2 linked regions of the Oryctolagus cuniculus genome follow. The protein of the gene in region 1 interacts with the protein of each later gene in a pairwise test. Links are inferred from orthologs where the notes say so. Each region holds a gene or a part of one and is shown on either strand. Other genes may lie near its edges. The genes, in order: NPAT and HINFP.

The links.
Region 2: the proteins of NPAT (region 1) and HINFP interact in a two-hybrid assay, tested with the Homo sapiens proteins (2 studies listed by BioGRID). The link is inferred for Oryctolagus cuniculus from reciprocal best matches to the Homo sapiens genes NPAT and HINFP.

The regions. Positions count from the first base shown.
Region 1 is NC_091432.1:99,931,844-99,948,343, reverse strand, and holds part of NPAT (protein NPAT), read left to right. Parts: intron 1-12; coding exon 13-109; intron 110-4,151; coding exon 4,152-4,316; intron 4,317-7,133; coding exon 7,134-8,780; intron 8,781-11,924; coding exon 11,925-12,040; intron 12,041-12,114; coding exon 12,115-12,223; intron 12,224-16,500. UniProt on the Homo sapiens protein: Required for progression through the G1 and S phases of the cell cycle and for S phase entry. Activates transcription of the histone H2A, histone H2B, histone H3 and histone H4 genes in conjunction with MIZF.
Region 2 is NC_091432.1:111,166,113-111,182,612, reverse strand, and holds the end of HINFP (histone H4 transcription factor), read left to right. Parts: intron 1-5,529; 5' UTR 5,530-5,536; coding exon 5,537-5,708; intron 5,709-9,130; coding exon 9,131-9,360; intron 9,361-9,622; coding exon 9,623-9,734; intron 9,735-9,904; coding exon 9,905-10,057; intron 10,058-10,547; coding exon 10,548-10,625; intron 10,626-10,712; coding exon 10,713-10,833; intron 10,834-10,914; coding exon 10,915-11,053; intron 11,054-11,143; coding exon 11,144-11,268; intron 11,269-11,531; coding exon 11,532-11,955; 3' UTR 11,956-12,460; downstream 12,461-16,500. Other genes in the region: ABCG4 (ATP-binding cassette sub-family G member 4), read left to right, coding at 12,704-12,777. UniProt on the Homo sapiens protein: Transcriptional repressor that binds to the consensus sequence 5'-CGGACGTT-3' and to the RB1 promoter. Transcriptional activator that promotes histone H4 gene transcription at the G1/S phase transition in conjunction with NPAT.

The sequences.
Region 1 (16,500 bases):
ACTCTTTTGCAGAGCGAAATTCACATGTCTGAAGAAGTTATACAGGATATATTGGAACAGACAGAATCAGACCCAGCATTTCAGGCCCTCTTTGATCTCTTTGACTATGGTAAGTGTATTGTTGCTTTCACAGCAGTTAGACAAAAAAATTTCTCTAGTTTCTTTGGTTAACTTAACACAAGCAACACTCCATAGCACGTCTTGAAAAAGTTCTTAACTTTGTTAAAGTAAATATTGTATGAACAGGTAAAAGATAGTGTCTTGCTTCACTTTGTTTTTACTTAAATTTTAGCCGTTAAATGGGGAGGCTTTATTTTTTTATTTTTGTGAGCATTGTGGCCAGTCAGCAGACTGTTGAGGTCCAGTACTATAATTAATAAACAAAATAGAAAATACAAAAGGAGTATGAAAAATTGGCCATTTTCTTCAGTTTCTTAATCTAGTGCAATAGTTCTCAAATTACAGCCCCAAAAATCAGCACTATCAACTTTATCTGAGAACTTGGGGCCTCCAGGAAATTCTAATACAGTTAAATAACCACAGGACTAGTGTCGCTCCCCCTCTTCGTGGAGGAACGACACAGGACCCTACGCTGTTCTTTCGTCTGCTCGGCCCTTCCCGGGTTTGCTGCTGGTTCTTCCCGGGTTGGCTACTGTCCCTTCCACCTCCGTGGAAGGGCGGTTCCCCCTACCACATTCCCCACTTCCGCAGGGGAGCGGCACACCGCCGGCCGGCTCTCTCGGGGGCTGCACAGGTGTTCCCCTTAGATGTTCCCCTTAGATGTTCCTGGTGCATGCCGTCTCTCTCCTCCTTTATAGTCCTCCTCCGCCAATCCTAACTCGGCTGCCCACACGCCAAGTACGCTGCTCTCCTCCAATCAGGAGCAAGTCCTACAGTTTATTGGCTGAACTGGAGGCAGCTGTGTAGAAGCTGTTTTCTTCTCTCCCAGCGCCATATTGTGGGAGAGCAGATGCATAGAATAAGTCTTAATTCCAGTAACAGTCTAGTCCGAGTTGCTCCCAGTTGCTCCCCACAGATCCCCCTTTCTTTTTATTTTTTGGCGTTGATACGCACCTGTCTTCGGTGTCCCGCGGCACACACTCTGCTCTGCTTGCTAGAGTTGCCACAGGTTCTTACAAGTCCTATCAATCAGGCAAACCGAATCCGGGTCCTCTCTTCGCCATGTTGTGAGGAGGTTTTTAGGCGCTGATGCGTGCCTGTGTTCGGTGACCTGCGGCTCATACTCTGGTCGAGCCGCCTGCTGGTGCTTATTGCCTTACTAATCAGGCAGACCGAATCCAAGCCTTCTCATTGCCATATTGTGGGGAGGCCTATTGGTGTTGGTTCGTGCCTATCTTCGGTGACCTGCAGCTCATACTCTGGTCGAGCTGCCTGTTGGTGCTTACCGCCCTAATCAGGCAGACCGAATCCAAGCCTTCTAATTGCGGTATTGTGGGGAGGCCTTACTGATGTTAATTCGTGCCTGTCTTCGGTGACCTGCGGCGCATAAGCTGCTAGCCGCCCGCAGGTGCTCACCGCCTCCCTAATCAGGCAGACCGAATCCAAGCTTTCTCATTGCCATGTTGAGGGGAGGCCTTTCTATTTCTCTATTTCTCTATCTCCGGGCATTCCTATTTCTCCCATTTTACTTCTATCTTCCAGCATTCCTATTTCTCTCATTTTACTTCTAAACTTCTGTTTCTCTTATCCCTGCGGCTTTCCGGTGCCCGCCCCGAAGCCGCTTCTCGGCGGCTTTCCGGCTCTGAGCCGCTTCAGCCCGCGCCTCTCTCATCTGCGCGGCTTCGCGGCTCTGCGTGGCTCGGCTTCGCGCGCACACTCCGCGGTCTCTCACTTAGCCCAGCGTTCCCTATCTACTTGAGCCCCGCGCGCTCTGTCTGCGCGCGGCAGCCTCCGCGAGTCACACAGCGTAGCTTACGTCTCCGCCATTAGCATTCAATCTAAGTTCCCCGGGCTAGCCTGGCGAATTCAACCCAGCTCACGTCTCCGCCCCACGATTTGGCTTCCCGTCCTTTGCTCCCCGGGCTAATCAGACAGATCCCAACCGGGCTTACGTTTCTGCTTCTGGTTTTAACTTTTCGCCCCCTATTCCCGGGCTAACTTGAGAATCCCAAAGTGGCTTTCGTCTCCGCCTCGGCCTGCCCCCCGCGGCTTCAATTTCCCTAACATTTTTCTCTACCCGGTATGTTTCCCCAAGCTTTCCTCCAACGATACTCCTCCCCCACTTCTCCTGGCCTCTCCCCACAGTCCGCATCCGAGTTTGTTCTAGCTTTCACTTTCGCTTTCGACCTTAGAGATTTCTCCCAGCTTCCCCCCGTAGTCCGTATCTGAGTCTATGCCTAGGCTTTCAATAGCTTCTTCCGGCACCTTTTTCGTCCGGCTTTTCCCTAGGCTGTTTGCTAGTCTCTCTCTCCGGTATTTTCCCATTTCTTCCCGTTTCTTCCCTCCTAAGTTTGCTATCCGTCCTAGGTTTCCTATCCGAGTCACGGCACCATTATGTCGCTCCCCCTCTTCGTGGAGGAACGACACAGGACCCTGCGCTGTTCTTTCGTCTGCTCGGCCCTCCCCGGGTTTGCTGCTGGTTCTTCCCGGGTTGGCTACTGTCCCTTCCACCTCCGTGGAAGGGCGGTTCCCCCTGCCACTTTCCCCAATTCCGCGGGGGAGCGGCACACCGCCGGCCGGCTCTCTCGGGGGCTGCACAGGTGTTCCCCTTAGATGTTCCTCTTAGATGTTCCTGGTGCATGCCGTCTCTCTCCTCCTTTATAGTCCTCCTCCGCCAATCCCAACTCGGCTGCCCACACGCCGAGTACGCTGCTCTCCTCCAATCAGGAGCAAGTCCTACAGTTTATTGGCTGAACTGGAGGCAGCTGTGTAGAAGCTGTTTTCTTCTCTCCCAGCGCCATATTGTGGGAGAGCAGATGCATAGAATAAGTCTTAGTTCCAGTAACAGTCTAGTCCGAGTTGCTCCCAGTTGCTCCCCACAGACTAGTGTAAAAATTTTTCTACTGGGGCCATCGCTGTGGTGTAGCGGGTTAATGCCCTGACCTGCAGTGCTTGCATCCCATATGGGCGCAGGTTCTAGTCCCGGCTGCTCCTCTTCAAATCCAGCTTTCTGCTATGGCCTGGGAAAGCAGTAGAAAATGGCCCAAGTGTTTGGGCCCCTGCACCCACATGGGACACCCAGAAGAAGCTCCTGGCTTCAGATGGGCGCAGCTCCGGCCATTGCAGCCAATTGGGGCGTGAACCAATGGATGGAAGACCTCTCTTTCTCTCTCTCTCTCTGCATCTCCTTTCTCTGTGTAACTCTTGACTTTCAAATAAATGTTCTAAGAAAAAAATGTTTGTACTTACAAATTATACGTAAAACAGCATGTTAAGGGGCTGACACTGGCGCGGCGGGTTAAAGCCCTGGATAGCAGCACCAGCATCCCGTGTGGACAGTGGTTCAAGTTCCGGCTGCTCCATTCCTGATCCAGCTCTCTACTAATGCATCTGGGAAAGCATTGGATGATGGCCCAACTCCATGAGCCTGTACCCCTATGTGGGAGACCCAGATGAAGCTCCTGGCTTCGGGTTGGCCCAGCTTTGGCCATTGGTGCCTTCTGGGGAATGAACCAGCTGATAGAAGATCTCTTTTTCTCTGTCTCTGCCTGTCTCTCTAACTCTCTTTCAAGTAAATAAAATAAAAAAAAATTTTTTTGACAGGCAGAGTGGACAGTGAGAGAGACGGAGAGAAAGGTCTTCCTTTGCCGTTGGTTCACCCTCCAATGGCCGCCGCGGCTGGCGCACTGCGACCAGCGCACTGTGCTGATCCAATGGCAGGAGCCATGAGGTGCAGGGCCCAAGTACTTGGGCCATCTTCCACTGCACTCCCTGGCCACAGCGGAGAGCTGGCCTGGAAGAGGGGCAACCGGGACAGAATCCGGCGCCCCGACCGGGACTAGAACCTGGGGTGCTGGCGCCACAAGGCGGAGGATTAGCCTAGTGAGCCGTGGCGCCAGCCTAAATAAAATAAATTTTAAAAAGTATGATAAAATATCTAAAAAGCCAAAATTAAAACCAAAATTTAACATTTGCTTGACCCCTTATTTTATACTGGTCATTAATTATTTCCATGTGTCTTTTTTTAACAGGTAAAACAAAGAATAATAAGAATATATCACAGAGCATTTCTAGTCAGCATATGGAAACCAGTCAACATATGGAAACCAATCAACATATGGAAACCAGTCCCAGTATAATTTTAGAAGATGAAACTAATGTAGCACCTAAAGGTACTTTTAAAACAGAAGATTCTGGTAAGAATTTGATTTTATCAATCCAAATCTTTATATTAGTCTTAAAATTCAAAAGGAGGAAATACTTGAAAGTTTGTCAGTTTATCACAAGGGTCTTTATTTCTAGTTTTTTCTCCATTAAAAAAGAAATTATTCCTGGGGCCGGTGCTGTGGCGTATCAGTTAAAGCTGCCGTTTGCAGTGTGGGCATCCCATATGGGCGCCAGTTCAAGACCTGGCTGCTCCACTTCTGGTCCAACTCTCTGCTTATGTCCTGGGAAAGCAGTAGAAGATGGCACAAGTCCTTGACCCTCCGCACTTGCGTAGGAGATCCAGAAGAAGCTCCTGGCTCCTGGCTTTGGATCGGCATAGCTCCGGCCATTGCGGCCATTTGGGGAGTGAACCAGCAGATGGAAGACTGCTCTCTCGCGCACGCTCTCTCTCTCTCTCTCTCTCTGTGTAACTCTGACATTCAAATAAATAAATGAATCTTAAAAAAAAAAAAAAAAAACGCATTCCCAAGAGTTCAGTAGTTTGAAAGGTGAACTTTTGAACTTTTAGTGCTCATTGATTTATCTTACAGTATGTTCTGGGAAAGAGGATTTTTTTTGTGTTGAGGATAAGGTTTTTTAAATTTTTTTAATTGACATAGTAATTGCACATTTTATGATGTACATTGTGCCATTTTAATACCTGTAAACAAAGCATAGTGGCATGTCATGCTAGACACATCCTCTTTCAATCCCTTCCTACTGCTTACCCTTCCCAGGCTCTGGTATTCAAATGCTAGTCTCTTTTACTTTAAGATCAACATTTTAGCTTCGACGTGTAAGGGAGAACATGCAGTATCTGTCTTTCTGTGCTTGATTTATGTCACTTAATGTGATATTCTTCAGTTCTATTTCATAACAAATAACAGAGCCTCATTCTTTTTTGACTAAATAATATTCCCTTCTGTACATTTACCATATTGTCTTTATCCATTCTGTCATTGGACACTTAAGTTAATTTTGTGTCTTGGGTATTGTGAATGGTTTTATAGTAAATATGAAAGATTCTTAAACATTTCAGTTCATTTGGATATGTACTCATTAGTAGAATTACTGGATCATAAAGTAATTGCATTTCTAGCCTTTAAAAAAATTTATTTATGTTTAAGGCAAAGGGACAGAGAAAGGGAGAAAGAGACCATCTTGGATCTACTATGCACTCCTCAAATGGCTGCGATGGCTGCGACTATCACAGGTCAAAGCCAGGATCCTGGAGCTCTGTCTGGGTCTCCATCTGGGTCTTCCCTATGGGTGGCAAGAGCCCAAGCCCTATTGCCATCCTCTACTCTTTTCATAGGCCCATTAGCAGGGAGATCAAAAGTACAGCAACCAGAACTTGAACTGGTCTCTAGTATGCCAACATTGCAGGTGGCAGCTTACCCCACTGTGCTACAACATCAGCCCCTATTTTTTTTTTTTTTTTTTTTTTTGGCAGGCTGAGTGGATGGTGAGAGAGAGAGACAGAGAGAAAGGTCTTCCTTTGCCGTTGGTTCACCCTCCAATGGCCGCCGCGGCCAGCGCGCTGCGGCCGGCGCACCGTGCTGATCCAATACATCAGCCCCTATTTCTAGCTTTTTTATGGAAGCTGCTTAATGAGAGTTACACTGTCTGCAAATACTCATCAGCATTTATTTTTTTGTCTTTGATGATAGCCATTCTACCTGTGATGAGATGGTATTTCATTTTGGCTTTGATTTGCATTTCCCTGATGAATAGTAATGCTGAGCATTTTTTCATATACTTATTTATTTCTAGAACCTCTTTTGAAAATTATTCATTGAGTTGATTCACTGAATTTATAATCGGATTATTTTTTGGCTGTTGGATTGAGTTCCTTATGGATTGTGGAGGTTAATCCCTTGTTGGATGAATGGTTTGCAAATAATTTATTCCATTCTGTGGGCTGTCTCTTCAGTCTGATTGTTTTGCTATGTAGAAAGTTTTTGGTTTGTGTAATCCCATTTGTAAGTTTTTGCTTTTGCTGCCTGTGTTTTTGAAATTATAGCCAACAGGCCGGCGCCGCGGCTCACTAGGCTAATCCTCCGCCTAGCGGCGCCGGCACACCGGGTTCTAGTCCCGGTCGGGGCGCCGGATTCTGTCCCGGTTGCCCCTCTTCCAGGCCAGCCCTCTGCTGTGGCCAGGGAGTGCAGTGGAGGATGGCCCAGGTGCTTGGGCCCTGTACCCCATGGGAGACCAGGAAAAGCACCTGGCTCCTGGCTCCTGCCATCGGATCAGCGCGGTGCGCTGGCCACAGCGCGCCGGCCGCGGCGGCCATTGGAGGGTAAACCAACAGCAAAGGAAGACCTTTCTCTCTGTCTCTCTCTCTCACTGTCCACTCTGCCTGTCAAAAAAAAAAAAAAAAAAAAAAAATTATAGCCAACAAAAAGGCTTAGCCTAGACCGATGTCATGAAGAATTTCCCCTGTGTTTTCCTCTAGTAGCTTCACATTTAGGGATATTTGAAACCAGTTGTGTTTTTGTTTTCTGGATTTTTTTTAAGCCTACTGGTAAATATTACATGTCCTTAAGCAGGTATACTTTTTCCTTTACCATGTCAGCTATTTTCTAAAAAATTGATAAAAATAATTTGTCATTTATTTTAAAAGGTATGAGTAATTTGAAAGATGCATGTAAACACTTTGATACTCAGAAAATGAGATATGAGATATATCCTATTTTTACCTACTGACCTGTAAAAGATTAGTTACTTCCTTGGCAAAATAGGCTTTATAATAAATTGCCTCAGAAGCTGAACTTACCACATTTTTCCACCCTCCTGCTGTTTTGCAGATGGACAGTCTGGTCAACCCTCATTTTGTTCATCCTATCAAAATGAAGATGCATTAAATGCTTTGAAAAATGGCAGCAACCATGATGGGCTTAGACAAGACGCCCAGGAAAATTTTTCCCACATAGGTCCTAGCATCCAGAAGAAGGCCTTTAAAGCAGCTGTACCTACTGAAGAGAAGTGTAACCTTGACATTACTTTTGAGTCTGTGCCTAATTTGAATGACTTTGACCAAAGAGGAGATTCTGTTGCTGAGTGTGATGCACTCTACCCCACTCAGATGTCTGCTGAAACTGAAATGGCTATGGAGGTTGAAAAGAATTCTTTGTCTCCAAATGTACAAGATGAATCTCACTTACAGCCTGAAGTACCAATAACTTCACTTGTTTCACTTGGTGGTGAAGCTAACAATGAAAATCTACTCTCTGGGAAAAATTCTCAACTTTTATCTGAAAATACTTCATTAACTGAAAAGTCATCCAAGAAAAATCAGTTTTGTGAAAGTCCTAATAATTCAGTGGGACTTAAAACTAACTTCCATGGTTCTAAGTCACCGAAGTCTAGTGAAATTCATGAGAGTAAAATTGAAATTAGTAATGTGTTACCAGTTGTGTCACAGCAATTATCAGATTGCCAAGATAATTCTTCACCACAAAGTAAAATACTACCTTTATCTGTGGAAAGTTCAAGTTTAAATGTACAACAAGTAGAAATTAGTTTTGGAGAGTCCATCTCTTCTAATAAACAACCATCTAATGATTCAGCATCTATTGAATTAAACCATACAGAAAATGAAACTGAGCCATCCAAGTCTGAGAGAGTTACTTTGGATTCACAAGACCCTTCATCTACTATAAAAGAAGTTGGAGATGCCATTTTTCTGTCTTTAGATGGAAGTGATAACTGTAGGGAAGTTGCATTGGTGCCTCCAGAAGATAATTCTACAGAAAATAGTCACTCTCCTCCTTCAGAATCTGTGTGTTCTGCAGTGGGAGATGCTCACCCTGAGTCCCAAAATACTGCTGATAAGCCTTCTAGTGACAACTCAGCAGAGATAGATGCAGCAAATATCGTCTCTCTCAAAATTATCATTAGTGATGATCCATTTGTTTCCTCAGATACAGAACTTAATAGTGCTGTTTCTAGTATCAGTGGAGAAAATTTGCCAACTATAATTTTGTCCTCTCCCGCTAAATCACCTGCCAAAAATCCAGAGTTAGTTAAATGCCTGTCTTCAGAAGAAACTGCAGGTGCTGTTGTATCTGCTGAAGTAGGGGATTCAGCCTCCATGGAACAGAACCTTTTAGCACTCAAACTTGAGGACTCCGTTGTAAACAACACTCAGAATGAAGATAGCATTGCTTTTCCAGCCAATGTCACACCATGTGTTTCCAAGGATGGAGGATACATACAGTTGATGCCAGCCACAAGCACAACTTTTGGCAATTCGAATAACATTCTGATAGCTACCTGTGTTACTGATCCAACTGCAGCCTTGGGAACAACTGTAAGTCAGTCTAATGTTGTAGTACTGCCCGGAAATTCGGCACCTATGGCTGCACAGCCCCCACCACCTCAGTTGCAGACACCACCAAGGTCAAACAATGTATTTGCTGTCAACCAAACTGTGTCACCAAACTTTTCACAAGGTAACTATAAGAATGTGTTAAAGTTTTTGTCTCTGGATTGGGATCTGATTTCTCTTGTATGTAATTACTAAACTGTAGGTAATAAATCAGATGGTGTGAGAAAATAGTCTGAAATTTGTAATTATGCCTCTTGTTTACACTAGGTGAGTAATTCAGTCACCTTTTTTTTTATTATTTTTTTCCATTTTTTTAACTTTTATTTAATGAACATAAATTTCCAAAGTACAGAATATTGATTACAATGGCTTCCCCCCCCCATAACGTCCCTCCAACCCGCAACCCTCCCCTTATCCACTCCCTCTCCCCTTCCATTCACATCAAGATTCATTTTCGATTCTCTTTATATACAGATCAGTTTAGCATACATTAAGTGAAGATTTCAACAGTTTGCTCCCACACAGAAACATAAAGTGAAAAATACTGTTTGAGTACTAGTTATAGCATTAAATCTCAATGTACAGCACACTAAGGACAAAGATCCTACATGAGGAGTAAGTGCACAGTGACTCCTGTTGTTGACTTAACAAATTGACACTCTTGTTTATGGCATCAGTAATCACCCTAGGCTCTTGTCATGAGCTACCAAGGCTATGGAAGCCTTTTTTAAGAATTGTAAGCCATGAACGGAAGTGGTTTAATTTTTTCTTTTCACAAATAAGGTCTCAATCTTTGAGAAAGAGAAAGAAAGATTAATTCATCACATAGCTGTGTTTTCTTTATCTCCTATAATATTGAATTTTAGTAGGTATGCACCTGGTATGGTTGTAGCCTTCAAGAGAGTTGTCATCTATTTGGAACGATATCCAGGAACAATTTGAATAATATATATGTTTAGTTTCCCTTGTTCATAGGGTGTCTTGTAGCATTTATTACATGCTGTTTTTTATTAATGATTGGCATGCCTGTCAAATTAGTCATTCTAGATCGTATGTTTATCAAAGATAGGACTTACAGTATATCCATCTATATTTCTGTATGTATTGGTTCTTGAGCTTCCCTCCCACCTCCCCCCTTTTTTTTTTTACATCATAGACACACAATAAAATTTTATTAAATGTCATCACTTGTAAGTATTAAACCTGATGGGCCTGTTTGAAGTACTGCCTCAAATAAGAGGTCAGAATTGGTATAGAAACTGGGCTTGAGATAAAGCTTACAGAAATAAGGTAGGATTTGGAGTTAAAGGAAGGAAGTCTTTATAGCCAAACGAAGTAGTGCAAGCATGAATAAGTATTTTAAGACTATAGCAGTAGGCTGGCGCTGCAGCTCACTAGGCTAATCCTCCACCTTGCGGCGCCGGCACACCGGGTTCTAGTCCCAGTCGGGGCGCCAGATTCTGTCCCGGTTGCCCCTCTTCCAGGCCAGCTCTCTGCTGTGGCCAGGGAGTACAGTGGAGGATGGCCCAAGTGCTTGGGCCCTGCACCCCATAGGAGACCAGGAAAAGCACCTGGCTCCTGGCTCCTGCCATTGGATCAGCGTGGTACGCCGGCCGTGGCGGCCATTGGAGGGTGAACCAACAGCAAAGGAGGACCTTTCTCTCTGTCTCTCTCTCTCACTGTCCACTCTGCCTGTCAAAAAAAAAAAAAGACTATAGCAGCTATGTCAAAGTGAAATCAACCTAAGAGTAGTTATTGTATTAGGAAAATACTCTCATTACAGGGCATGGATAAATTGTGATAGTAACAGACTATATTGTTGTTGACCTTTTTTTTTTTTTTTGGACAGAGTTAGACAGTGAGAGATAGAGAGAAAGGTCTTCCCTCCATTGGTTCACCCCTTACCGCTACAGTGAAGCCAGGAGCCAGGTGCCTCCTCCTGAGCACTTGGGCCATCCTCCACTGCCGTCCCGGGCCACAGCAGAGAGCTGGCCTGGAAGAGGAACAACTGGGACTAGAACCCTGCGCCCATAAGGGATGCCAGCACTGCAGGCAGAGGATTAATCTAGTGAGCCAGGGCGCTGGCCCCCTATACTATTGACTTTTTTTTTTTTTTTGGACAGGCAGAGTGGACAGTGAGAGAGAGAGACAGAGAGAAAGGTCTTCCTTTGCCATTGGTTCACCCTCCAATGGCCGCCGCAGCCAGCGCGCTGCGGCCAGCGCACCGCGCTGATCCGATGGCAGGAGCCAGGAGCCAGGTGCTTTTCCTGGTCTCCCATGGGGTGCAGGACCCAAGCACTTGGGCCATCCTCCACTGCACTCCCTGGCCACAGCAGAGGGCTGGCCTGGAAGAGGGGCAACCGGGACAGAATCCGGCGCCCCAACCGGGACTAGAACTCGGTGTGCCGGCGCCGCTAGGCGGAGGATTAGCCTAGTGAGCCGCGGCGCCGGCCTTGACTTTTAATTACTGTGTAAGCATTGTAATTCCCCCAACACATGCACGCACACACCGTGGTTTTGTCTGAATACTCATTTACCTTTTACCTGGACTCTTTTTTTTCTTTTTCTTTTTTCTTTTGAAAAGCATAGTTGGAGAGAAAGAGACAAAACAGACAGAGGTCTTCCTTCCACTGGTTCTTTCCCCAAATTGTCACCACACACGGGGCTGGGCCAGGCTGGAGCCAGGAGCCTTAAGCTCCATCCGGGTCTCCCACATGTGTACAGGGGCCCAAGCACTTGGGTCATCTTCTGCTGCCTTCTCAGGTACATCAGCAGGAAGCCGGGTCAAAAGCAGAGCAGCCAGGACTCAAACCACCAACCATATGGGATGCTGGCATCTCAGGCAGCAGCTTAAACTGCTAAGCCACAGTGCAAGCCCCCACCTGGATCATTTTTAACCAGTGTCATTGATATATAATAGGCTAGGTGTATGGGCAGTCTTAGGCTATAAACATTCAGTTGAGGTTCTAATTTCCTAGTGTAAGACTCAGACTTGAAACGTTCACTGATTTTCTAATTAGTTTCACTGTTTTTTCTATAGGAGTCAACAGTACAGTTGTATGACTTCCTTGCTCATGATTGTTGTGAAAATGTTATCAGCCCATCTTTCTATTCAATTGACCTACTTGTTGGCCTTGCTGTTCTGCCTTAATTTTCTAAAATAATAGATTGTAAGGAAAGATTATTACTTTATTTCAAAGTAACAATTATTTGTTTTGTACCAGAATTATTAAGAGAAATTCTTCCTTTAATGAGAATTATTTTTCAGGATCTGCCATCATAATTGCCTCTCCAGTGCAGCCTGTGCTCCAGGGAATGGTGGGAATGATCCCTGTATCTGTGGTGGGACAGAGTGGAAATACCTTTTCTGCTCCTCCTCGGCAGGTGAGGTTTATGAACTAAAGTGCTATAGTGAAACTTTTCAAACATAGTATAATTAATGCCTTCTTCTCTTGCAGGTCCTTCATATGCCTTTGGCAGCACCTGTGTGCAATAGAAGTATTCCTCAATTCCCTGCCCCTGCAAAATCTCAAAAGGCTCACGGACCAAGAAACAAGCCTTGCATAGGTAACATATTAAGTTTGTTAATGTCAGCCTTATGTTTGTCCATTAGTTTGTAGCAGTGCTTGACTCTTTTCTTCTTGAACACCAATAACATCCTTAACAAGTAGTCATCCTAAGTTTGCTTAAAGATTCATAGCACTAGATATTAGAAGGCAGCCAACCTTGATATAGGACATCTTTGATTCTGATAAGTTTCCTTTTATAAGTTTTAGCTTTGTTCCAGTGTTCCTTAATTTATTCTTTGGAGATACCTAAAATAATAATAATCTTAATTTTCTGATAGCTTTAAAATGTTTACTGAATGTCATATATATTTATATTAGATTTTAGAGGCAGTGTTTGCTGAATGTTTATATGAACTGCTACCTGGGAATCTTGTTAAATGCAATTGCTGAACAGTAGGACTCCCGTAGGGCCTAAAATTTCTTGTTTCTAATAAGCTTTCACTGAATGCCTGTGCTGCTGCTGCTAGGCCACACTTTTGAGTAACAGCCTTTGAAGTTCCCAATTTATTTTCCTTCATTCCCAATTTGTTCAGTGGCTCACCCATCTTAGTATTTATCCATGTCTAAAACCTAGGAGTTTTCTTTTTTTCTTTTCTTAATTTATTTGACAGGTAGAGTTGTAGACAGTGAGAGAGAGAGATAGAGACAGAGAGAAAGGTCTTCCTTCCATTGGTTCACTCCCCAAATGGCTGCTATTGCCAGCACTGCGCCCATCCGAAGCCAGGAGCCAGGTGCCTCTTCCTGGTCTCCCAAGCACTTGGGCCATCCTCCACTGCCATCCCAGGCCACAGTAGAGAGCTGGACTGGAAGAGGAGCAACATGGGATGTTGGCGCCGAAGGTGGAGGATTAACCAAGTGAGCCATGGCGCCAGCCCCACCCCACCAAGAGCTAATTTTAACAGCAAGTACTCAAAGTGGATATTCCACTTTTATTTATTTATTTTTTAAAGATTTATGTATTTATTTGAAAGTCGGAGTTACACAGAGGAGAAGCAGAGAGAGAGAGAGAGAGGTCTTCTATCCGCTGTTTCACTCCCCAGTTGGCTGCAAAGGCCAGAGCTGTACAAATCCAAGGCCCGGAGCCCGGAGCTTCTTCCAAGTCTCCCACATGGGTGCAGGGGCCCAAGGACTTGGGCCATCTTCTCTGCTTGCACAGACCATAGCGGAGAGCTGAATTGGAAGTGGAGCAACCGGGAATTGAACCAGCACCCATATGGGACAGCAGGCGGCAGCTTTACCCGCAAGCCACAGGGCCAGCCCCAATTCCACTTTTATTTTTCCCTTAATTGCTTGTCATGCGTATGCTACAGCAGTTAACACCTGACATTGTGAATATTTGACTCCTCACTAATTTGAGTGTCTTAAGGGCAGTAAATATATAGATTACCTGCTAAATTCCATGATCAGTTTTGCTTTTCCTTCAATATTTATACATGTTACTGTACGTGTAAGTTGTTTTTTGATTTATTGGCATTCTCTCAGACTGTCACATTATACTACTATACATTTCATCTCCTGTCAATGGAACTTTAAGACACTCCCAAAGTTGACCTGACAAACTATGATATGATGAACACATTTTTTTTTTTAAATTTATTTATTTATTTGAAAGTCAGAGTTATACAGAGAGGAGAGGCAGAGAGAGAGAGGTCTTCCATCTGGTGGTTCACTCCCCAGTTGGCCGCAATGGCCGGAGCTGTGCTGATCCGAAACCAGGAGCCAGGAGCTTCTTCTGGGTCTCCCATGAGGGTGCAGGGGTCCAAGGACTTGGGCCATCCTCCACTGCTTTCCCAGGCCATAGCAGAGAGCTGGATAGGAAGTGGAGCAGCCAGGTCTCGAACCAACACCCATATGGGATGCGGGCACTTCAGGCCAGGGTGTTAACCCGCTGCGCTACAGCACCAGCCCCAGATGAACACTTTTTTAAAAATACTTTTTTTAGAAAAAATTTGTTTATTTATTTGAAAGAGTTACAGAGAGAAAGGGGAGAGACAGAGATCCTTCATCTGCTGGTTCACTCCAGCCGCATTTGACCAAGGCTGGGCCAGGCTAAAGCCAGGAACGAGGAACTTGTTCTTGGTCCCTTTTTTTTTTTTTTTTAAGATTTATTCATTTATTTGAAAGGGAGAGTTAGAGAGAAGCAGAGGCAGAGAGATAGAGAGAGGTCTTCCATCCACTGGTTTATTCCCCAAATGGCTGCAATAGCTAGAGTTGGGCCAATCCAAAGCCAGGAGCCAGGAGCTTCTTTCAGGTCTCCCATGTGAGAACAGGGGCCCAAGGACTTGAGCCATCCTCCACTGCTTTCCCAAGCACATCAACAGGGAGCTGGATCAGAAGTGGAGCAGCTGGGTCTCAAACCGGCACCCATATCAATGCCGGCACTGCAGGCCAGGGTGTTAACCCGCTGCGCCAGAGTGCTGGCCCTGATTCTTTAATTTCTTTTTTTTTTTTTTTTTTTTGGACAGGCAGAGTGGACAGTGAGAGAGACAGAGAGAAAGGTCTTCCTTTTGCCGTCGGTTCACCCTCCAATGGCCACCACGGCAGGCGCGCTGCGGCCGGCGCACCACGCTGATCCGAAGGCAGGAGCCAGGTGCCTCTCCTGGTCTCCCATGGGGTGCAGGGCCCAAGCACTTGGGCCATCCTCCACTGCCTTCCCTGGCCACAGCAGAGAGCTGGGCTGGAAGAGGGGCAACTGGGAAAGAATCCGGCGCCCCGACCGGGACTAGAACCCGGTGTGCCGGCGCCGCTAGGTGGAAGATTAGCCTATTGAGCCGCGGTGCCGGCCCCGATTCTTTAATTTCTAAAATGACATGTATGCTGTTTAACTCAGCTTGATCTACAGCTATCCTGTCATTAGTTTTTAATGTAGAACCCAACTTGAATTTATAACTTTTTTGTATTAGATTATTTTTTATGTTGGTAAAATATATATACCATAAAATTTTTAACATATGACCAATTTGGGGCCAGTGCTATGGCACACTCTCTATCTCTCCCTCTCTCACTCTGTAATTCTGACTTTCAAATACATAAATAAATCTTTCAAAAAAAAGAATCATTCTTTTTTAGTCTCAGAAATATATAATGGCAATAATTGTTTAACATAGCAGTTAAGACACCTGCATCTTATATTGGCATACCAGAGTTTGGTGCTCAGTTCCCAGCTTCCTGCTAGTTTGGTGCTCAATTCCAGCTTCTCAGTCCAGCTTCCTGCTAATGCAGGCCATAGGAGGTAGCAGTGATGACTGAAGTACTTGGGTCCCTGGCACCCACAGTGGAGGCCTACATTAAATTTACAACTTGCAGCTTCAGTTTTGCCAAGTGTATTACAAGCATTTGGGCAGAGAACCAGCTGATGGGAACTTGCTCACTGTGTTGCTGTCTGCTTATCTCTCTCTCTGCCTCTCAAATGAATAATTGTTTTATAAAAATATATAAAGAAATAATGGTAATCGTGGGAAACTCAGTGTTCATCACTCCCATTCGGTATGTATCTTTTCTACTTCCAAAAGCATTCTTCCATTTTCTCTTCTCAAGGAATAACTCTTTCTTTCTAAGGTTAATGCAGACTACTTGTGCTCTAGGTTGTATCTTTTAACATTAATTTTTTTCTCTTTATTTCTTCCCTATGTGTCTGAAACTTGCCAAACTTTTATTCCTGACCCTTCTTAATCTCACGTTCCTTCATTTGTAGTATTCTCTTTTCTTATTTAACACGAGAGGTCACTAGTGACTTTCTAATACTGCCTTTTGCATTGAACTTTGCCATTCTTATTTTCCTGTAATTATTTTTTTTAAGATTTCTTTTATTTATTTGAAAGAGTTACAGAAAGAGAGAGAGAGAGAGGTCTTCCACCCACTGGTTCACCCCCCAAATGACCACAACAGCCAGAGCTAAGCTGAGCTGATCTGAAGCCAGGAGCTTCTTCCAGGTCACCCGGAGCAGGCACCCAAGAACTTGAGCCATCTTCTACTGCTTTCCCAGGCCATAGCAGAAAGCTGGATGGGGAGTGGAGCAGCCAGGACTCAAACCGGCACCCAAATGGGATGCCAGTGCTGCAAGCCGGGGCTTTAACCCTCTGTGCCACAGTGCCAGCCCCTCTTCTAATTATTAATACAACTGATAGTTTCTGAAACCATCACTAAATTTATTCTGCCACTCTCTCGCTGATCTTACATATAACTCAAGTCCTTCAAATTCTACATTTCCAATCTTTTTTTCCTTAAGATTCCTTTATTTGAAAGAATTAAAAAGGGAAAGGGAGAGAGGGAGAG
Region 2 (16,500 bases), about 11 Mb from region 1:
CTGGGAGATGAGGACCCAAGTCCTTCCCTTTCCTGGAGACCACTCAGGGCTCACTCGGTGCCTTGCGCTACAGTGCACGCTCTCAAGTGTTTGCTGATCGCTTCTTACCGTGACCGCCGAGCGAAGGGAGGGAGGCTCGGGTCCCGGGTTGCCCTTTTGTTGGGTCCTTCGCAGCAGTCCGCTCAGGTCAGCCCTCAGCCGCAAGTGAGCGTACTCACAGCCAGCACGTGTGGAGTTCTTGTGCCATGCGAAGTATTTTGATATCAATTGTCTACTTCCGCCCCCAGTTCAGTGAGATACAATGGTTCCCGTGCTACACTGGAAACCCAGGCTTAAGGAAGGTCCCTACGGTTAGTAAATGTTGCTTCGTGAGCAGGTTAGCTGCATCTAACACCATCACTGAAACTAGTATCTCATTCTTAATAAGAAACAGGTTCAGAGAAGCTGAGTGGCTTGTCTAAAATACAGTAGCTAGTTCTAGAACTACCGTAGCTCCTAGGAGGTGTTTGATGACCCTGCGGGTGGAACTGAAGAGGGCACAGGCCAGGCTGTGCAGCAGGTTACAACTTGGAGGGGCTTGACGAAGGAGCTGCTTGCTAAAAGGCGTCTGGATATTGTGTGTGCAGAGACCATGTCTGTGGGTGGGGCACTCGGGTACCCTAAGAGGGGCAACAGTGGGAGGAAAATGGAGCCAAACTCCCTGGCTCTCTGTTGTCTCCACTTCTAGCGTTGTGACCCTGGTTAAATTACTTCACCTACCTGGGCCCATTTCCTCACTGGTGCAGTGGATAATAATAATAGCTAACACGGTAGAGTGTTGTATTAAAGGGTTTTTATACACATGAAACACCTAGAGCGGTGTTTGGATATGGTAGGTAAATAAATAGAGCAGATTCGCTGAGACAGAAAACTGGAACCCGGATCTCTGACGGCTGGTGCAGAGCTCTCCCGTATGTTGTTTGCATCATTTGCATCGTTCATCTACAGATGGGGCAGTGTGGGACATAGTTCTGTCGCACATCTCTCCTGTGTCTCTAGGGACACAGGGAGAAAAAGAGGAAGTCAGGAAGCTTTGCCTAAGTCAGGTCATTCCCTGTCACTAGGTAGCCAGCTTCCTGGGTCTTCCCACCCAACCCCACCGTGGGAACGCGTTTAGAACATTTGTGCTCAGCACTGTGGGCACCGTGGAGAGACCCAGATGCGCCTGCTGGGGCCTCTACTCAGAAACAGCTTATAGCCCAGTTGTGTAAACAGGAACAGAACACATAAAAAGACCGTGAGTGATCCTCATGGTGTCCTAATTGGGTTGAGGTTTTATGATGTCTGTCAACAGTGCCAGCCCTAGAACCAGAAGGCCAAAGAGTTGTTACTGAAGAGTAGCATAGTTTAGGAGGGCTTCCTGGAATATGATCATCCGAGACCTGTGAGCACTGGGGCCTACGGAGCTCTGTGCTGGTCCCTGCCCTGTGAAACGTGTAGTCTAGGGAGACCGCTTTCTGTTGCGTTGGAGCAAGCGCTGCAGTGAAGGGGTCTACGGGACGCTGTGGGCAGGAGATGGGAAACTCCAGCTGACCTGGTGAACTGGGGAGAGGGAGACCAAGGAAGGGACCTTGGGGTCTGAAGGATGAGCTGCTGCTTCGGCAGAGTTTCAGGAGAGTGAATCAGAGAGGCAAGGGAGAGGAAGCTGGAGAAGCAGCATGGTGTGGTGGTGGTGAGGGGGTGTGATCCTTGGATCAGAATCAGGGCCCTCTCAGAGTAGTGTAGTGACATGTGGAGCGGGGTCATGGCAGGGCTAACGTTACCTGGGCCCTCGTGGGTGTGAATTTCCACACCCAGACTCTGGAGAAGTAAGTTGAAGCTAGTTTGGAAAGTCTTGCATTTTCCATACTATAAGCGGTAGAGAGGAAGTTTGGGATTTTATGTCTGGCTTAGGGAGACTTTCCCTACCCCAACTTTATGAAAGCAGTAGACGTTTTCTCCTGATAAAGCCTAGGAGCAGCCCTGCAATCCTTGTCTAATCCAGTGTCCCGGTGACTGGATTCTTCTCTGAGGAGGAGAAAAGACCGGGTAGGTTTAGCAGATAGAGTAGGTTCAGAGCCTTGTACTTGGAGGCATGAAGGATTTATGACCTTATTTTATTTCATTTATTTTATTCCTCTTAATATTCAGTAAAGGCCTTTTACAGAGTCCTCATCAGTCTCAGGTAGGCCAGAGTCGGCCGTGCCCTGTTCCCTTCCAGGGTCTGCTAGGGTGGGGGCAGTGAGATCCCCTAGGGGAAGGTGGCATTCAGGGGACACAGTCAAGGCTTTTATTGTTTTCTCTCCTCCCAGAACTTTAGGTTCCAGTGTCATCCTTTTTTCTGTGTTCTTTTTTAATGAGAGAAACTTTTGCCGTTTCTTGAAGTATGCTGCTGGTACTGCCTGGATCAAAACTGAATGCTGAGTTTTAAAAGCAGATTTCTAGGCTCACCTGCCACTTTGCTGAATCTGAACTTCTAGGGGGAGGGACTGGAGAACCCTATTTGTGTGTATAGTAAGCATTGAAAACATTTAGTTTTATAATCGTCTCTCTCTCTAACAAATAGTTATTATATGCCTAAGTTTGTCTAGCAATTTATAGGTGCCTCGGGTGCAGTGTAAATGAGACAGGTCTTCTTTATGTTTTGTTTTTAAAGGTTTCTGGCACAGCAATGCCTGGTCAGCCACCCCCCAAATACTTGTGGGATGAACTTAGGACGACCTCGAGGCAATAACCCATGCGAGGTCATCCCATCCGCACCCAGTGAGGATCCCCACATTTGTGGCAGTCCCCAGGCACCCCAGGCTCTCAGGGTAGCTGCTATACCCCATCCCACCCGCATGTTTGCCATAAATGTAGGAATGGACGCAAAATTCAGACCCTGGATTCCAACGCCTGTAAAAAGGCGTCTGCTAACCAAGGGTCGAGGATATGCGTGTCTTTCCAGAGAATGCGGGACAGCCCATTGTGTACCAGCCAGAAACATCAAGCCTACAACTGATAGCCAACCAGAACCAGCTGAACAAGACTGAGAGCCCACCTTGTTAGCGGATGTACTTGCCCTATCATCCTACCCTGAGGAACTGTAGCCACATCCATTACTGTTTTATACCCCACTAGCTCTGGTCAGCCACTCGAACAGCCCACAGCCTGTGTGCAGTCATGCCAACCTGATTACCATTGTTCCTCATTCCTACCCCCATCTGAGCAAGCACTCCTGTGGTCTCCCGTTTTGAGCGCTGGTTAGTCAATGATGGGTAAGATCCCCTGGAGGACAACCTAAGACAGGCACAGCCGTGTATGGAGACCACATGGAAACGGGGTCAACAATGGTATGGCCAAGAATCATGCCTCCCGTTGCTCAAAAATAAAGGAAAAGGGGGAAATGTGGAATGAGAAGGCCATGCCAAGATGGCCGCTGGCAACGGAAACTGCCTGGCAACAGGCTGTGATTGGATGGCTTCAGAAACTGCCTGGCAACAGGGTGTGATTGGTTAGGGCATAGACTGCCCCTTGACCGGATTGGCTGCCTTGGCTATATAAGCTGCTGTATCAACTGAAATAAACGAGTCTGCAGGCTGCTCGCCTCAGGCCTGCTTTCACCAGATTCCTGCGGTCTGTGTAGTGACTCCGCGCCTCTTGCCCTCACCACGTTCTTCCTCTCAGAAACAAATCAACCGCAACAAAGGTTGACTCTTTTTTTTTTTTCCTAAGATTTATTTGAAAGTCAGAATTACAGAGAGAGAGGGAGAGACAGAGAAAGAGGTCTTCCATCCACTGGTTCACTCCCCAAATGGCTGAAACGGCTAGTGCTGGGCTGATCTGAAGCCAGGAGTCAGGAGCTTCCTCTGGGTTTTCCACGTGGGTGCAGGGGTCCAAGTACCTGGGCCATCTTCTGCTACTTTCCCAGGTACATCAGCCAGGAGCTGGATCAGAAGTGGAGCAGCTGGGACTTGAACCCATATGGGATGCCGACACTGCAGGCAGAGGCTGAACCTTCTACGCCACAGTGCTGGCCCCAAGGGTGACTCTTTTACAAAATCTTTTTTACATTAATTTTCATTTATTTGAAAGGTAGAGAGATCTTCTGTCTGCTGATTCACTCTCCAAATGCAGTCAACAGCCGAAGCTGGGCCAGGCTGAAGACAGGAGTTCAGAACTCAATCTAGGTTTCACACATGGATGACTTCAGGAACCCAAATATTTGAGCCATCACTTGCTGCCTCCCATGATCAGTATTAGTGGGGAAGTGGGAAGCTGGAAGCTGGAAGCTGGAATCAGAAGTGGAGCAGGCACTCCAGCCCAGGCCCTTCCATAGAGGGTGGGAGCATCCTAGCGGCATCTTAGCCACTGGCCAAACACCTGCCCCTGGAATCTACGTTTCAACAGGGTGTTTGGGAGTGCTGGGTAATCGTTGGCTAGTTAGGCAGGGGCAGATTGTGTGACACTTTGAAAGTGTGAAGTCTGACAGAGAACTTAAGACATGATGCTATGAGAAGTAAGCAGATTTGGGGCCCATCTGCAGGCTGTGTCCAATAGGAAGATTGAGGACTTTAGGGTGAGCTTTGTTTGACCTTGCTATACCACCAGTGTGTGACCTTGTGCACATCACCTAACTTCAGATCCTTGTCTATAAAGGAGATTAAAAATAGTACGTACCTATTAGCATGGTTGGTAATTAAAGGATGTAATACAAATAAAATGTTTAAGATGGTGCTTGACATAAAGTAGCTGTGAAATTAAAAATAAAAGGTTTTAGGGACAGGCATCGTGGTATAGCAAGTTAAGCAACTGCTTGGGTTGCCTGTATCCCATTTTGGAGTGCTGGTTTGAGTCCTGGCTACTTCATTTCCAATCCAGCTTCCTGGTAACACATCCTGGGAGGCAGCAGATGATGGCTTAAGTGCTTGGTCTCTTGCCACCCATTTGGGAGACCCAGATGGAGTGCTGGGTTTCTGGCCCAGCTGTGGCTGTTGCAGGCATTTGGGGGAATGAACTAGCAGGTGGGAGTTCTCTCTCTCTATTGCTCTGCCTTTCAAGTAGATGAAAATAAATAAATAAATAAACTTTAAAAGGATCTATTAGCTCCATCTTGCAGAAAAGAATGTTCAAAAGTTGAAGGTTAAGTTCTTGGCCAAAGTCACATAGCTAGTAGGTGGTAGACAGTAGAGTCTGGATTTGAATTCTGATTCCTTTCCAGAGTTGTCTCTGAACCTGAGCGTTGTTCTTCCTGCCTAAAGCATAATTCCTTCTTGGTGGGTTGCTCTGAAACTTCAAGAGGAAATGTCTGTTAAAGTGTTTAGCTTACTGCCTAGCACAAACTGGATAGTGTTAGTTTCTGTTCCCTTTTTTCAAGAACACCAGATAGCTTCCAGGAATTTGAAGAACTGCTATTCCATCCTCACTGGAAACACACCTGCTGATTCTAGGCAGGCTGCCTGCCCAGCTGTTTGCCCCAGCAGCACTGGGTGGAATCTTTGCAGCTATGTACTTCTTCCTCTCCCTCCACAGCAAGGCCATGCCACCTGCTGGGAAGGTGCCCCGGAAGGAGAACCTGGGGCTCCAGTGTGAGTGGGGGTCCTGCTCCTCTGTGTGCTCAGCCATGGAGGAATTCTGCGAGCATGTCACTCAGCACCTGCAACAGCACCTGCATGGTTCCAGGGAGGAGGAAGAGGAGGATGACCCGCTTGGTAAGGGAGCAGGACACAGGAAGGGGAAAAAGCTAAAAGGAAGATGGGAAATTGACTTTCCTTTCCCCAAAGGGAGAGGACAGCCTGGGAGAATGGAGGCTTATTTTCCATATTGTGCTTTTTTTGGTTATAAAAACATTGTAAATTTATTTATAGACAATTCAGTCAACAAAAGGATATAGGGAGTGCATCTGCCATCAAGAGGCAGTTACACTGCTTTAGTGAACATTCTTTTTGCCTTCTCTTGCATTTGTGTACTTAAATTAGATGCAGATTTTGTTTTTTGTAAAAAGCTCATACTGTAGAAGCGGTTGGCAACCCTTTCTCTTTAACTCTGGGAGTGCTCCTCTCTCCAACCCCCTCCTCTTCTCCCGCAGCCACCAGTTAGGGGTATCTGTGTGTGTGTGTGTGTTTATGTATCTAGATAAATACAGAAATATAAAGATTTATTTATTTATTTGAAAGGTAGAGCGAGAGAAGGAGGGAAAGAGAGATGGTCCATCTGTTGGGTCACTTTCCAAATGCCTGCAAGAGCCAGGGCTGAAGCTAGGAACTAGGAGCAAGGAACTGTATCTAGGTCTCCCATGCGGGTGGCAGCAACACAAGCATTTGGGCCATCACCTGCCTCCCAGGATGCGCATCAGCAGGTACATGGATGGGCCGCAGAATAGCTTGGACTCAGAACAGGCACTGTGGCACAGGATGTGTGTGTGTGTGCATGCATATGCATGTATTTAAGATTTTATTTATTTATTTGAGAGGCAGAGTTACAGAAGAAGAGAGAGGTCTTCCATCCACTGGTTCACTCCCTAAATGGCGACAATGGCTGGAACTGGGCTGATCAGAAGCCAGGATCTTATTCTGGCTCTCCCACATGGGTGCAGCGGCCCAAGCACTTAGGCCATCTTCTGCTTTCCCATGCCATCAGCAGGGAGGTGGATTGGAAGTGGAGCAACTGGGACTCGAACTAGTTGCCCATATGGGATGCTGGCACCATAGGTGGATGCCTAAGCTACTACGCCACAGCGCTGGCCCCTGCAATATATATTTTACAACACAAAAATTAAAGGAAAAAAAATACCAGGAACAATACTTACTAAATACTGTCTGCAATGTCTGTCTGCCTCTCTCTCTAATATGAGAGGCAGACAGAGAGAGCTCCCATCTGCTGGTTTACTTCCCCGAAGCTGCAGTAATCCCAGGCTAGAAGCTGAAGCTGAAGCTGGGAGCCAACAACTCAAGCCAAGTCTCCTATGCAGGAGGCAGGAACCCAGTCACTTGCGCCATCACTGTAGCCTCCCAGGGTCTGCGTTAGCAGGAAGCTGGAGTCAGGAGCAGAGCTGGGTGCTCTGATGTGAGACATGGTGTCTTAACTGGCATTTTAATTGCTAGGTTAAATGCCTGTCCCTTACTGTCTGTCTCTCTCTTTTTTTTAAGGTTTATTTATTTAATTGAAAGGCAGAGTCACAGAGAGATAGGGGAAGACAGGGAAAGAGAGAGAGCTTCCATCCACTGTTTCACTCCCCAGATGGCTGCTACAGCCAGGTCTGGGCCAGGCTGAAGCCAGAAACTCCATCCAGGTGGCAGGGCCCAACTACTTGGACCATCCTTTACTGCTTTCCCGGGCACATTAGCAGGGAGCTGGATTGGAAGTGCAGCAGCTGGGACTTGATCCAGCACTCACATGGGATGCTGGCATTGTGGGCAGCAGCTTAGCCCACTGCACCACAACACCCGCCCCCCTTGTGCTCCTTTATTTAAAGGGGAGGGGGTACTTTCTGGTGGCACAGCAGGTTAAGCTGCCATTTTCAACACCTGCATCCTATATCAGAGCACCAGTTTAAGCCTATGCTACTCCACTTCTGATCCAGCTCCCTGCTAGTGTGCCTGGGAAGCAGTAGAGGATGAACCAGGTGCTTAGTGCCCTGTCACCCATGTAGGAGACCTTGTAAGTATGGGGACCACTCTCCTTCCCCAACCCGAGATTCTGTGACTAAGCTATAACTGATAGTTTGAAAAGTAATAAAGAACAATCAGAGGATGGTCATATTTTCTAAAATACATACTTTTTTTTTTTTAAATTAATGTATTTATTTGAAAGGCAGAGTTACAGAGAGAGGGAGAGACATCTTCCATCCACTGGTTCACTCCCCAAATGGCTGCAACAGCCAGGACTGAGCCAGACTGAAGCCAAGAGCCAGGAACTTCCTCCAGGTCTCCCATGTCAGTGTGGGGGCCCAAGCACTTGAGCCATCCTCTGCCACTTTCCCAGCTCCACCAGCAGGAAGCTGGATCTGAAGTGGAGCAGCTGGGGTTCGAACCAACACCCATACGGAATGTTGGTGTCGCAGGCAGCAGCTTAACCAGCCACACCATGACTTCAGCCCCTCTACTTTTTGAGACAACCATTTCTTTCTTTTCTTTTCTTTTTTTTTTTTTTTTATTTGACAGGTAGATTTATAGACAGTGAGAGAAAGAGAAAGAGAGAAAGGTCTTCCTTCCATTGGTTCACTCCCCTAATGGCTGCCATGGCCAGCGCTGTGCTGATCCGAAGCCAGGAGCCGGCTGCTTCCTCCTGGTCTCCCATGCGGGTGCAGGGGCCCAAGCACCTGGGCCATCCTCCGCTGCCCTCCTGGGCCACAGCAGAGAGCTGGACTGGAAGAGGAGCACCAGGACTAGTACCCGGCACCCCAACTGGGACTAGAACCTGGGGTGCCGGCACCACAGGCAGAGGATTAGCCAAGTGAGCCACGGCGCTGGCTGAGACACCATTTCTATAAAGCTTTGAAGCTAAGTTGCTTGGAGATGCTAGAGATATTGGAAGTGGATTGGAACCATTGCTGGGGCCTTCCTGGAGAAAGCAGCTCTTGAGCGGGAAGTGGGGGGACAGAGGAGGCTGCGTCTTCCTCAGGGGCAGTGGGCACTGTGAGCCAGAGTCTGTGGTGCCAGCCACACCCGCCGGCTCTGAGCTCGGGCCTTGAGTTTGCAGTTACCTCTGCCTCCACCACACCTGCCCTTCACTTACTGCGGATACGCATCCGTCAGATCTCAGCATGAGGGCAATTCTCAAGACACCCCTGTCTGTGTCCAGCTACCTCTGCTTCATAATTGTATAGTACCGTGGGCCCCTACCCCATCACGCTTATCACTACTAGTTGCAGTTTTATTTTGTAGATGTGATGATTGAGTAATGTTCTTTTTTCCTTGACTGAAAGCTGTGTGAGGGCAAGGACTGGTACTCTGTTATGCTGGTTACGTCCTTAGTGCCTGGTGCACAGTGGATGGTCATTAAGTGATGGTATTTGCTGAAGGAACTCCTGGTAATTTGGTAAGCGCCTGGCCTTATTCCCTGCCAAGTGCTGCAGGTGGAGAGAATGCTGACCCCAGGAAAGGACTGGACTCTCCTTCTAAACCCTTTGCAGGGGAAGAATTCTCCTGCTTGTGGCAGGAGTGCGGCTTTTGCTCTCTGGACAGTTCTGCTGATCTCATCCGCCACGTCTACTTCCACTGCTACCACACCAAGCTGAAGCAGTGGGGGCTGCAGGCCTTGCAAAGCCAGGCAGATCTCAGCCCCTGCATCTTGGACTTCCAGAGCCGGAACATCATCCCTGACATCCCTGACCACTTCCTGTGTCTGTGGGAGTACTGTGAGGTCAGTGAGCAGTGCCAGTCATGGCGGGGGGGGGGGGGGGGGGGCTGGGAGTCCTGACTCAAGCTGTCTTGACCTTCTTAGGGGTGGTTATCTTACCACAGCTCCTGCTAGTGCCTCTGCCCTAGCTCCGTGTAGCTCCTTTCCTCTAACTTTCTATCCCTACCCAGTTAATTTGGGAGAGAGCCAGGAAACCCCTCTGGGCACATGGTGGTAAGGGTCCCTCCACTACCTCAGTTCTCACCTTGAGTTGCCTCTGGCACAGAGCACCTTTGACAACCCTGAGTGGTTCTATCGGCACGTGGAAGCGCACAGCCTGTGCTATGAATACAAAGCAGTTGGCAAGGACAACCATGTGGTGCTGTGTGGCTGGAAAGGTAGGGCCTGTCTTTAACTTCTGGGTCCTGAAAGAAACCCTGGGGCCAGGGCAGCCAAGGAGCGGGCCAGTCCTGCAGGGCTAGCTTGGCTGGCAGCTGGAGAGAGTTGGGGCTCGTAGAGCCTATTGGGGGAGTTTGTAACTGGAACCTGGCCGGGCCTTCCTTCCCAGGCTGCACCTGCACCTTCAAAGACCGCTGTAAGCTTCGAGAACACCTCCGCAGCCACACCCAGGAGAAGGTGGTAGCCTGTCCCACCTGCGGGGGCATGTTTGCCAACAACACCAAGTTCTTGGATCACATCCGCCGCCAGACCTCCCTGGATCGTAAGAGCCAGAGAGCAGGGGTGGGAGCAGGTTGCCCTGCCCGGAGCGTGGTGGGCGCGTGTTTCCCCTGAAGAGATCTGTGGCTTGGCTCCCTCTTCCTTCTGGGCTCACGCACCCCACAGCCTCGGTGCTGAGCCAGTCCCGGGTGCTGTCGCTCAGCACTCACTGCCGTCAGTTATCTCAGGGAGCCCTCAAAGCAGCCCCGTGAGGTAGGCTTCTTATCCCCGTTTCTGCAGATGCAGAAGCTGCGGCTCAGAGAGGTTAAGTCAGTCAGCTGAAATCACACAGAGAGTAAGTGGTGAGGGCGGGCTTCTCTCTCAGGTTCTCTGTTCTGGCCCCGCGTTCTTTCCAGGCTCCTGTGTCCATCCACAGCTCGCTAGGCTCCCCTTTGTCCTCGGGTGCTCCCTTGTGCCTGGGGTGGTCCTCCTCCTCTTCCCTCTCCTCTCCACATCCCCCGCAGCCCTCCTTTCATTGCCTGCCCTGTCCCCAGAGCAGCGCTTCCAGTGCTCTCACTGTTCCAAGAGGTTTGCCACAGAGCGGCTCTTGCGGGACCATATGCGCAACCATGGTGAGTGGCCCGCCACGCCAGCCTCCCCGTCCACCCTCCAGGGCTCCACAAGTCTTCAAACCACAGCCTCCTCTCTGCTCCTCCCAGTGAATCACTATAAGTGCCCCCTGTGTGACATGACCTGCCCGCTGCCTTCCTCCCTCCGCAATCACATGCGCTTCCGCCACAGTGAGGACCGTCCCTTTAAATGTGACTGTTGCGACTACAGGTAAGGGGAATCGGGGCCCAGAAAAAGAGCTCGTGTTCCAGGGTCCCCATGTCCTCCAACCCCCCTCACCTCTCCTGGCAGCTGTAAGAATCTGATCGACCTCCGGAAACACCTGGAAACGCACAGCAAGGAGCCAGCCTACAGGTGTGATTTCGAGAGCTGCACCTTCAGTGCCCGGTCCCTCTGCTCCGTCAAGTCCCACTACCGCAAAGTGCACGAGGTGAGGGGCTGGGGGTGGAGTGGGCCTGGCAGAAGTGTGGGGGAGCCTGGGGTCAAGGGTCAGCCTCACTTCTGCCTCTCTCCTTGTCAGGGGGACTCGGAGCCGAGGTACAAATGTCATGTGTGTGACAAGTGCTTCACACGGGGCAACAGCCTCACCGTGCACCTTCGCCAGAAGCATCACTTCAAGTGGCCCTCGGGGCACCCCCGTTTTCGGTAGGTCCCACAACAACCCTCCCTCCAGGTTCACACACGTTTTTTTCTGTGTCCTGTTTTTTTGTTGTTGTTGTTGTTGTTGTTGTTTTGCGCCAAAGTTAAAAACCTTTGAATGCTTTTATGGTGGGTTACTGTCTGTCAGTTTTCAATGGTGTCACATAAAATCCCAGGATTCCTTCTGCATCTGTCCCTTAAGCTCCCTGTGTGTGAGCTGTTTGGCATCCCCTGCCCACGTGTGCTGCCTTGTGTTCCTCCTCCCCCAGGTACAAGGAGCATGAAGACGGCTACATGCGGCTGCAGCTGGTTCGCTATGAGAGTGTAGAGCTGACTCAGCAGCTGCTGCAGCAGCCCCCAGAGGGGTCCGGCCTGGGATCAGCACTGAATGAGAGCAGCCTACAGGGCCTCATCCTAGAAACGGTGACAGAGGAGCCAGGATCTAAGGAAGAGGCGGAAGAGGAGGAGGAGAGCAGGGGTGGTGAGGGGACAGCCCACTCAGCCTCTCAGGACAACCCCAGCCCTGTCATCCACATGGTGAATCAGACCAACACCCAAGGCCAGCGAGAGATTGTCTACTATGTGCTGGCTGAAGCCCCCGGGGAGCCCCCGCCAGCTCCGGAGCTGCCCTCAGGAGGCATCATGGAGAAGCTTCCAGAACTTGCTGAGGAGCCAGAGGTCCACACTGTGTGAAGCTGCAGAGCCTGGCCACTTCTGCCCCGGCCCCGGAGTTTGAGCTGGGGGTGCAGTGCCCCAGGGGGCGGCTCTTGCAGCCGGATACCTTAGGAGTGATGTGGAGAGCAGTGCGCACTGCTCTTCCTGGGCTTGCATGGTTCTGCGGGCTCTCAGGACTTCCCTTTCTGCCAGACTGCAATTTCTGGGGGTCCTTAGCTACCTGGGTTCTCTGAAGGGATCCTGGCTGTATGTGTTCTTGGTAAGGGGCTGTGATCAGGCTTAACCGTTACTCTGTAGACGTGCTAGACCATGCTGAATTCCTTACTCAGCTTATGTCTATTTCCATGCCACACCCCCTATAAGGGCTTTTCGTTGCCATCAGCCAAGGTATTAGGAACCAGGCATCCATTTCTCTTAGGGGTTCCTACAACAGCAAGGGCTCTACGGTTATCCTCAGGGACGGGCTTGGAGGTACTGAATGTGTGTAGTAGTTGTTTTTTTATAATAAACACTTGGACTGGAACTCATTTCTTCCTAGGTATAGTGGAAGTTAACTGGGTAGCAAGAGGTACATCTTTCTGGAAGAGGAGCTGAGTAATCCGACTTATTCCCCTTTTAGTGCCTGGTGTGGCTTATTTCTGTCGTGTTGCTGCCTCTGCTGCAGCCCCACTTTGGTGAAATGTCTCTGTTCTTTCTCAGAGCATTTGCCATCTCCATGGAGGCCCCCAGCACTTGGACATGAGTGGGCTGCAGATCTATGGCATAGATGAGAATGGGGCTGACCCGGGAAGATGGAGCAGCTGAGCACGGCCACACTGATCAGAACCCAGTGCCCCTGGGGTAAGGTTCCTTACCTCTGGGGCTGTGGGAGGAAGGGAGAGCCGGGTGGATTGGGAGGCTCCCTGGGGAATGGCAGGTACTGCAGGGGGCCAGGAACAAAATGCATTTTCCTGGGGGATAGGATCTGTTTTCAGTAGATTTTCACAGAGGCTGAAACACCTCCAAAATAAAGACATTCTTTAGGCTGGTTTGGCTACTTCTCAGTACGCAGTGTTCATTCTTATGTCTGCTGCCGTGGAGAGGCCAAGGAAATACTCTGAGAGTCTTAGACGACCAGGAAGTTGCCTAAAAAGGATTCTGGATCTGTTAAAGGGCTTGCTTTAAATTCTTACTGCGAAAACTGTCTATTGTTGACAGAATTAAGAAAGGAAAATAAATTCTGTCAGCTTTTTTTTTTTTAAGATTCTTTATTTGAAAAGCAGAGTAACAGAGAGGGAGAGACAGAGATCTTCCATGTGCTAGTCTACTGCCTAAATGCCCTGCAGCAGCTGGGGCTGGGCCAGGCTGGAGCCAGGAGCTGGAGCTCCACCTGGGTCTCCCACGTGGGTGGCCAGGGCCCCAGCACTTGGGGCATCTTCCACTGTTTATCCGGGCACATTAGCAGGGAACCGGATCAGAAGTGGAGCAGCTGAGACTCAGCCAGCACTCATGCCTATGGGATGACAGGATTAGGGAGAGCTTCCATCTACTGGTTCAGCCCCCAGCTGCCTGTGAGAACCAGGGCTTGGCCAGGTGAAAGAAGCCTGGAGTGCACGCAGGTCTGCCATGTGTGTGATAGGTACTCAAGTACTTGAGCCATCACTGCTACCCCCCCCGGGGGAGGGGCATGCATTAGAGGAACCTGGATGTGAAGTGGAGTAGCCAGGACTCCAGGGACTGTGATGTGGGATACAGGCAGCCCAAGTGGTGACTTAGCATCCTGTACCACAGGTCCTCCTCCATCAGCCATTTTCTTTTCTTTTCTCTCTTTCTTTTTTTGGAAAGGCAGAGTTAGAGAGAGAGAAAGGTCTTCCATTGGTTCACCCCCCAAATGGCCGCTACGGCCGGTGCGCTGCGCGGATCCAAAGCCAGAAGCCAGGTGCTTCCTCCTGGACTCCCATGCGAGTGCAGGGCCCATGCACTTGGACCATCCTCCACTGCCTTCCCGGGCCACAGCAGAGAGCTGGACTGGAAGAGGAGCAACCAGGACAGAATCCAGCGCCCCAACCGGGACTAGAACCCGGGGTGCTGGCACTGCAGGTGGAGGATTAGCCTAGTGAGCCGTGGCACCGGCCCATTTTCTTTTCTTTCTTGCTTTCTTTCTTTCTTAGATTATTTGAAAGAGTTACAGAGAGGGAGGACAGAGAGAGAGCTTCCATCTGCTGGTTTAACTGGCCAGATGGCTATAATGGCCAGGACTTGGCCAGGCCAAAGCCAGGAGCCAGGAACTCCAGCCGGTGTCCCACTTGGGTGACGTCGTCTGCTCTTGCTTTCCTTGTGCCTTAGCAGGGAGCTGCATCAGAAGTGGAGCAGCCAGGACTCCAATGCGCTCATGTGGGATGCTGGCATTGCAGGCAGCGTAACCCCCTGGCACAATGCTGTTCCCATCATCTCAGTTCCTGCTGTGGCCCAGGCACAGCTGTTAAGGATACAAAAATAATACCTAGGACCCATCCTGGAGGGACTTGCAGTATAGAGACAAGGAGAGAGTATGTAAGGGAAGTGATAGGAACTTACGCTGTATGTTGAGAAGGTTCAACATGGTGGACCGTAGACCTGGGCATGGGGAAGGTTTTTTTCTAGAAAGAGACCCTAACCAAGACCAGAAGAAGATTGTCAACGCCCGCCATCCTGAAAGAGTGGTGCCCTGTTTTCAAAGGTAGTTCTAAAGAAAAGTGGTGAGCTGAGAAGTATATGTATACGGAAGTCCACCATGGCTACTTTGGTGTTTTATGCACACACACCCATGAGGGCACTTCAAAAAATTGGGGAAATCCATGCCCAATATTTTCTAATACGCATCTTCCATGAGCTTTTTTTTGCTTTTTTTTTTTTTTTTGGACAGGCAGAGTGGACAGTGAGAGAGAGAGACAGAGAGAAAGGTCTTCCTTTTGCCGTTGGTTCACCCTCCAATGGCCGCCGCGGCCGGCGCGCTGCGGCTGGCGCACCGCGCTGATCCGATGGCAGGAGCCAGGAGCCAGGTGCTTTTCCTGGTCTCCCATGGGGTGCAGGGCCCAAGCACCTGGGCCATCCTCCACTGCACTCCCTGGCCACAGCAGAGAGCTGGCCTGGAAGAGGGGCAACCGGGACAGAATCCGGCGCCCCAACCGGGACTAGAACCCGGTGTGCCGGCGCCGCTAGGCGGAGGATTAGCCTAGTGAGCCGCGGCGCCGGCCCCCATGAGCTTTTTGAAGACCCCCTCAGGGGCCTGTGTTGTGGCGTAATGGGCTGAGTCTCCCCCTGCCGCGTCGACATCCCCTATGAGTGTTGGTTCCTGTCCTGGCTGCTCCACTTCCGATCCAGCTCTCTGCTTATGTCCTGGGAAAGCAGTGGAAGATGGCCCGAGGGCTTGGATCCCAGCATTCATGTGGAAGACCTGGAAGAGAATGGCTCAGCTCCAGCCGTTGTGGCCATCTGGGGAGTGAACCAGCGGATGGAAGACCTCTCTCTCTCTCTCTGCCTCTCTCTCTATCTCTCAAATAAATAAAATCATTTTTTTTAAAGTGACTAATTTCCTATTTTAAAAAAACCCTCATAGGTATACTATGAAATTATTTTCCTAATGTTCAAATTTCATTCTTGAAGTCCCAATGTGCCGTTCCGTTTGGTGATCTAAGCAGTGGCTTGGGCTGCCTTTGAGTAATCCGGCGCTCTTGACGTCATCCCTCACTGAGGAGTGCCTTCAGGGTCAGGCCTGCATCCTTTGGGGAGGCTCTTTCCCGACAGTTGTGCACATCCTGCACACTACCCAGACGATGGTGACAGCACGAGAGACTCTGGTCTGCTGTCAACATCATTCCAGCTCCCTGGAAGCAGGTAGGACCTGGAGGCCAAAGCTTAGCATGTGTGGGCTAGGAAGCTCTGGTCTGGGACTGAGGAGTTCAGGCGGATCGAGGCCTGTAGAAATACTGGAGGCTGGGCCTGGGTGAGAGCAGACCCTGGAGAGGAGGCTGGCATACTAGTTTGACCACCTTCCAGTTTCATCTGAAGTCAGCCCTTGTCGCCACATCATGGTGAAGAGTGGAGAACCCGTCTTACTCCTAAAAGGGTGGGGAGCGAAAGCAGGTGGCCCAGGAGTTGGAGGCTGAGGGTGCTTTTCTCTTGCCTGGGGCAAGGTCACTACCTCCGAGAAGGGCATGGAAGAGCTGAATGGATATAAAAACAGATGCTCCGAGATGAGGAGGGAGGAGTAAATGCTTGTGCATGACCTAGTGAATGTGGGCCCTTAATGAAAAGGGCAGTGAGCACATTGACGGAGGCTGGGGGAGCAGTGAAACCTTCAGATCACACAGGACAGCTTGGATTCCTTGTCTGGGGGAGGTCTCTGGAGGACAAGTAGGTTGGCAAAACCTGGAAAGCAATGGGAACGTCACTGTCCATGTGCACTTTAAAGGTTAATTTTATTTCTTTATTTGAAAGAATTATACAGATCTTCCATCCACTGGTTCACTCCCCAAATGGCTGCAAAGGCTGGGGCTGTGTCAGGCCGAAGCCAGAATCCAGGAGCTTTTCTTGGGTCTCCCA